Linked DNA regions of Oryctolagus cuniculus. The protein of the gene in region 1 interacts with the protein of each later gene in a pairwise test. Links are inferred from orthologs where the notes say so. Each region holds a gene or a part of one and is shown on either strand. Other genes may lie near its edges.

Region 1 (2,441 bases):
TGCCCCTCCGCCCGCCGCCTCACCGCTGAAAGGGCTCTTCTTCATGATGCTCTTGAAGGTCTCGTAGGTCCTCTTGCGTTTCTCCTCGATGCGGTGCCGGTCGTCTGGGAGAACGAGAAGTGGGTCCCCTCCCCTGGGTGGGGGAGGGGCCAGGCCTCCCGGAGACCCGCCCCCCAGGCCCCCCAGCAGGAGCCTCCCTCAAGAGCCCATGCGGCCCCCTGAAGCCACGGGCAGCTCTCCTTCCCACTCGGCTGCTGCCCGGCCCGGCCCCGCCTCCGCCCTGCCCGAGAACCGCTGTGGCCCTCCCTGCTTCTTCCGCAGCTCTCGGGTCTCTGATCCCACAGACCGGCCGGAGCCAGCCTCATCTTCCTCAAAGCCTGGATCCCGGTGCCGGAAGATCACTCGCTCTCTGCCTTTCTAAATGTGTTTTTTTTTTTTTTTTTTTGACAGGCAGAGTGGACAGTGAGAGAGACAGAGAGAAAGGTCTTCCTTTGCCATTGGTTCACCCTCCAATGGCCGCCGCGGCCGGCGCACCACACGGATCCGATGGCAGGAGCCAGGTGCTTCTCCTGGTCTCCCATGGGGTGCAGGGCCCAAGCACCTGGGCCATCCTCCACTGCACTCCCTGGCCACAGCAGAGAGCTGGCCTGGAAGAGGGGCAACCAGGACAGAATCCGGCGCCCCGACCGGGACTAGAACCCGGTGTGCCGGCGCCGCAGGCGGAGGATTAGCCTAGTGAGCCATGGTGCCGGCCATCGCTCTCTGCCTTTCAAGTAAATGAAGGCAAAGCAGGTGCCCCACAGCCCGCGCCTCCTGCGCGCCCACTGCACTGCAGCTGAAGCCGGGACCCAGCCTCGCTCCCACTCCCCGCCCCCGCGGTGCCCTCCGGGCACCCGAGCCGTCTGTGCCAGGCCCCTCTGGCCCAGGGCCTGAGTGAGCACACGGGGGCCTGAGTGAGCACACGGGGGCCTGAGTGAGCACACGGGGCCTGAGTGAGCACACGGGGGCCTGAGTGAGCACACCGGGGCCTGCTTGCCAAGAGGTGACACAGCGACGGGAACGCAGACAGACCCCAAGCTTCCGGCCCGGAACGCCGAGGGTCAAGGAAGCGTGGCCACCGCCCCGGAAGCTGGGTGGGGGGTCTGATTTAGGGGACCTGGCAAAGCGCGCCGAGCGGACCGGCAGGTGCCGCGGCCTGGCCTAGCCGTTCCTCCCGCAAGGGGCTGAGCCTCTCCCTGGACTCCGGCACCTTCTTCCAAAGGCCACCCCGCCCGAGTCTCCCCTTCACCCCTGCACGTGGCTCCCCACTGCCATACGACAGAAGCCCGGACAAAGGCCTGCAGCCTAGCGAGACCCTCCCGCCTGGGCCTGCTCCCTGCCTGCCAGCGGCTCCCACTACACAGCTGCCCGCCAGGCTGTGCACCTGCCCTCGCCCTGCCTGCAGACGGCACAGCTGCGCCCCTCTCCACGGTGAACGCCACCTCGCGCCCGCTGGAGGGCTCCAGCTGCCACCTCCGCCTCGCGTGTCGCCCTGTGACGCCAGGACCTCGTCCACATGTGTCTTCCTCACGTGACAGGGCAGGGCACGCGGCGCACTCATCTCTGTCCACACAGGGGGCTCAGGCCCCGGGCTCAGGCGGCACCGGAGACCAGAGCACACGGCGGCCGGGTAGCACGGTGCCGGCTGCCGCTGGCCGGCCCTGCAGCTGCGGCCGGCGCGATGCTGCCTCCTCCCCAGGAGCTCTGCCAGACGAGGATGAGGGCAGTGCTGCGATGCGTGCCGGCTGCTCCTCGGGCTCAGGGAGACTTGGGGACTCTGACTCCTGTCACGCGGCCCCTCGCAGCAGGACGTCAGCTGACGCAGCCGCGCCCTCACCACGCACACGCCGTCCAGCCCCGAGACTGCTCTACGCAGACCCCGAGCTCGGCCCCTAGGTTTTCCGGCCTCGCTGGACGGGCCTGCTCCCACCGCAGCTGTGTACCTGTGTCGGGCAGGTACTGGAACTCCATGGGCTCGCTGAGCTCGCGGTCCGAGGGCCTCCGCAGCTGCATGGAGACGCGCACGGGCGCCTGCAGGCCGGGGTCCGCGTAGGGCGGGGTCCGGAACACGATGGCCACTTGTCGGTGCACGTCCGCTTGTGAAAAGGAGCCTCGGGCCTCCCAGCCCGGTCCCGTGAAGTACACCTCGATGTCCTCTGCGAGACGGGGGAGGGGTGGGGGTCAGCTGTCCGGGGCCCAGCGCACCGCGGTCCACTGGCTGCAGCCCTGCCCCTCCCCGCCCGGCGAGGCCGGCCCTGCCTGCCTCCTGTGTACCTTTCTGCACCTTGTCGCACAGCAGGAAGATCTCGTCCCCGCCCAGGCAGCTCCCCGAGTTGCGGTTCACCCGGCAGATCTTGAGCTCGGCAGTGTTGGGGGCGCCTGAGGTGTGAGGGTGAGGAAGG
Region 2 (4,257 bases), on another chromosome or scaffold:
TGGCACTGGGTTACCCGCGCGAGCGGCCAGGGCAGACGTGGGCACCTGAGCACTGGCCCTCCTCCCCACCCACCTGGTAAAGGTTGTTCTGAATGTCCAGGACCTCCTGTGGCAGCAGAGCCAGGCAGCACAGCAGCATGGCGGGGGCTTCGTGGATCACTGCCAGGTGTACCAGCCTGGAGGAGCAGCGCAGGGCTCAGGGTCAGGGCCCGGGCCGGGGCCGGGGCCGGGGGTGGGGTCTGGGAACTCGGTACAGAAGGCACACAGCAGCCTCTAACTAGCTACCCACGGGGTAGGTGCAGGAAGTGAGACTTTGAGCCAGGAAGTGAGGGTTGGTGTGGAAAGCCAGAATCCCGTGGGTGGGAGCTCCAAGTTCCCATCCCTGGCCTTCAGGAAGGCTTTGGCTGGGTGGGCACGTGGGCAGGGTGCTGACGGCACAAGGGCCTTCCTGTCCGGCCTGCCCACACCCCACTCTCCTCTGCCCCCGGGGCCCTGCCCGGCCAGCTGCTGCTCCGGGGCAAACTGAAAGCGGCCGGCCTGGTGAAGAGGGGGTTTTCCACAGCCCAGGGCCCCACCTCCTCTCCCCAACAGGGAGGCCAGTGGGAGGCCGATGCGGGGTCCCACCCTGGCCTCTGGGTGTCACAGAGTCCCAGGGGAGGCAGCCAGCCCTGCTCCCACAGCACTGCCCAGAGACCCACCCCTGTGGTGTGCACCACCAAGGGGAGGGCTGGGCAGTGCACAAAGTGTGTGGCAGGGGCAGGCAGGCGGGGGCCCAGAGCTTCTGCCCTGGGGTGAGGGGGGCGGCTGCAGGGGAAGTTCCAGTCCTGGGGTTTCCCCACATCAGGTGGGGAAAATGAAAGCGGAGCTGGAGGGTCTCAGCCAGGACAGCTGCCTCAGGCACGAGCCAGGGGAGTAGCTGCCTGGGCTGGGGAGGGGGCTGCTCAGGCAGGAGGGGCCGGGCTTTGGCCCAGGACAGAGTGAGAGGGAGGCAGCAACGGCTCTGGAAATCCCCTCGGCCAGGGCCTGCCCTCTGGGTCACATTCCTGCAGCCACCTCCCTTCTTCCCTGCAGCTCCCCGCCCCCTGCCCCCTCCCACTTCCTTTTCCCACTTCCACACCTCCTGCGGCCCAGACACCTCCAAGGCAGGCAAGGGCCCCTCCTCTTCTTTGGTGGCCGCGCTGGGGAATCCTGACACTTGTCCCTCGGCTGGACCCAGCACCTGGCGCTAGCCAGAGCTGGTAGAAAGGGTGGCGTTAGGCAGTGTCAGAAGGCTCCACTCCCTGGACCGAAGGTCAGCATGGAGCCACCAGCACCTTGGGGTGCTGGGCCTGGGGGCTGCTGATCCAGGCTCAGAGTCCCAAGAGGCCTGTGGTGATCTCTGTGAGTGTTCAGAAGTGCATCTCAAGGAGGCGAGACGGGACAGGAAGCTCCTGCCTCCCCTGCCCGTGCATCTCCGATCTGGACTCCAGCCCTCCCCTACTCCCCTCCCCAGTTTTGGAGTTCAAAATCCCGGCCACTCCCTCTTGTTGCTGGTTTTCTTCTTCCTGGGGGCCAAGATCTTAACTGGCTTGTCCATCCCACCCTACAGCTGCTTCTAGTTCAACTGCCCCCTGTCCGAGTCCCCGCCAAATTCCACCTGGGCCCCGGGGAAGGGTAAAATGAGGGCGGAGCACAGCACACAGAGGGGGCTGGGGGGCTCAGGAGATGGAGGCTGAGAGGGAGTCTGGCTGGCTCCAGCCCTCACTTCCCCTTCGCCAACAGACAAGGAAGTAGGCCCGGGGCATCCAGCTGCCTGTGAGTCTGCTGGGGCCAGTGCCCCAGGCTAGCTCGTCCCCTCCTCCTTAGGGCCAGCCCCAACCCTAGCACCTAGCTTTCCCGGCCCTGACAGCAACCTGTAACTGGCACCTCTTGTTCCTTGAGACAGGGCATTCTGAGGTCAGGAGCAAACAAGGATGCCCCCTCCCCCAGCAAGAAAACAAAGCTGGACTGGTCAGGGGAATTCTCTCTTCCCAAGAGTGGGTTAGTGGTGATTTCCAAATGCTGGCCGCCTAGGTGAGGGCGTGCCAGCGCTGCCCATCCCCTGCCAGGGGGCCGAGTTAGGTGTGGAGTGAGTTAGGAGCTAGGTGTGGACAGTGGGGCTGTCCCTCCCAGGGCGGGTGCCTGCAGGGTCCCCCCCCCCCCCAGGTGCAAGCCTAGCTCCCCCACTCACGTGTCTCCGTCTTCTGAGATGTAAGTGAGCGCTTCCAGCTGCTGAGGGCTCAGCGGCCCCGCGCGGGGCAGCGGCGAGCCTGGGGCCAGGGCCTCGGCCTCGGCTTCTGGGCCCCCCAGCAAGGACAGGGACTCCGTGAGCGAGGAGGAACCATAGGTGGAGTCAGCCCGCTCCCCGTCGGCGTCTTCCTTCTCCTGTGGCACCTTGGTGGTCCCCCGAGGATGGGTCCAGGGCTGGCGTCCGCCGCCGTCCGAGGGCGCAGCGGCTGAGGTCGGCGTGGGCTCGGGCAGGGAGCGCAGCGACCGCAGAGACTCTATGCCCGAGTCACACTGGCCCTCGTCCGCCTCGTCCGGCTCCTTGCGCGCCTCCGACATGCCCGCGGCGCCGGCCCGCGGGGCCCGGTGCGCGCAGGAGCTGGTGCCGACCCCGCCGCGCCGCCTTTCCGGGTCGCCGGTCCGCCTGGCAGAGCGCGCGCCCGGCCGCAGCGGCCTCGCTCCCGAGCCGCCGGAGTCCGAGGGGTCCGCGAGCGCCGGCGGGGTCCGCCGCAGCGGGTACCCTGGACAGCTGGACCGCCCAATCGGGTCCTCCCCGGGCCCCGCCCCTCGGGCCAACGAGGGAGCCGCGCGCCCGCCCCGCCCCCGACGGGCGCTTCCGGGCCGAGGCCCCGCCCCTCCGGAATCCCCCTTTCCGCGCGGCGTGCGTAGGTTCGGGGTCTGTGGTTAGCTGGTCCTGACTCACTGCTCCGGGGACGAATTCGGCCGGCCGGGCGGCCGTGTGTCCGTGCGTCCGTCCGTCCGTCCACTCCTTTTTCCTTCTCCATTCTGCGCCTTCATTGCATCCATTCATTCTGTCCTAAACTTCTGTGCCTTGATCCGCTGGTTTGATTTAGGGGGATGTTTCTTGGTCGTCTCCACGGGCTGGGCTGCTGCTGGTGGGGTGGGTACGCGGCTGGTGGGATGGGCTGGCGTGGCTTCCTCCCGTTTCTCTCCATTTCCCTTGCTTTCTCATCTTTCCTTATTAGGACCCAGGAGTCTGGGACGGGAGGGGGAGAGGGCACCTGTTATCCTAACGGAAAGGGGTGGGAGGGGCAGTTTTTCCTTGGGGTCCCTGTGTCGGTTCCCCAGGTCACGTGGATCGGGCATGGCGAAGTGCTTTTGCAGAGTGAGCTTTCGCAGGCCGACTCTTGTCTGAGCAGCACAGCGGGGCAGGGGGTTTCTGGCCTCAGGCGGTTACAGCGTCTGGTTACCCCTCGCGGTCAGGGACGTTTAGTTCCTCGTGGTGGGGCCAGGATGGGGAGGCCCCAGACATGCCGGGCTGCACTCTGCTGAGGTCTCCACCCCGCCCCAATCCCAGCCCCCACGACATCTGCGCTCCTTCCCTGTCCCTGCTTTCCCAGGCCGGGGCGCCACCCACAGGTGAGCCCCAAACAGGTGCCCCATGATTTACTCCTTTGTTGCTTCTTCCTGCTCCCAGTGCACTGCCAGCCTAGGGCCAGCGATGCCCGTAGGGTCTCATCACGGACAGGTCCACCACTCTCCATCTCTGGCAGTGGGGAAGCAAGCTGGGGTGGGTGTCGTGGGCACTTGTCCACTCAGCCACGGGACAGCCATGGACAGAGTTTCTGCGTGGCTGGAGGTGGAACCAACTGTCACAGCAATGACCAAGGACCTTCACGCCCATCTGCAAAACACCTCCCACCCCCTCCCTGTCCTCACAAAGCCCCCCTGGCAATTCCAACAGAGGGTGGCTGTGCTAAGACCACAGTGAGAACAGCTGTTGTGGGGACACAGAGTGGGGCCAAGCCACCCACTGGAGTGAGGGGCTGGGAAGCTTCCCTGGGAACAGAAATGGGAAGGGAAGTGGTGGGGGCAGGGTGGGGGGGGTAGAGGCTTCCCCAGAGTTTTGCATCCCCTGGAGGACCGGAGTGGGAGGATGTGTCAGCATGAGACAGCCAGGAGCCCCGGATGGGGAGAAAGCCCCAGGAAGCCATGTCCCTCCCTCCCTTGGGGTCACTGATTTCAGATGTCCTCAGCCTCCTTCCCTGACGT

Evidence for each region.
Region 2: the proteins of RELA (region 1) and NFKBIE interact in binary tests that used the Homo sapiens proteins (3 or more experiments, as listed by UniProt). The link is inferred for Oryctolagus cuniculus from reciprocal best matches to the Homo sapiens genes RELA and NFKBIE.

The regions. Positions count from the first base shown.
Region 1 is NC_091432.1:6,042,636-6,045,076, reverse strand, and holds part of RELA (transcription factor p65), read right to left. Parts: intron 2,419-2,441; coding exon 2,314-2,418; intron 2,196-2,313; coding exon 1,983-2,195; intron 105-1,982; coding exon 24-104; intron 1-23. UniProt on the Homo sapiens protein: NF-kappa-B is a pleiotropic transcription factor present in almost all cell types and is the endpoint of a series of signal transduction events that are initiated by a vast array of stimuli related to many biological processes such as inflammation, immunity, differentiation, cell growth, tumorigenesis and apoptosis.
Region 2 is NC_091436.1:125,868,227-125,872,483, reverse strand, and holds the start of NFKBIE (NF-kappa-B inhibitor epsilon), read right to left. Parts: upstream 2,801-4,257; 5' UTR 2,584-2,800; coding exon 2,210-2,583; intron 177-2,209; coding exon 74-176; intron 1-73. UniProt on the Homo sapiens protein: Sequesters NF-kappa-B transcription factor complexes in the cytoplasm, thereby inhibiting their activity. Sequestered complexes include NFKB1-RELA (p50-p65) and NFKB1-REL (p50-c-Rel) complexes.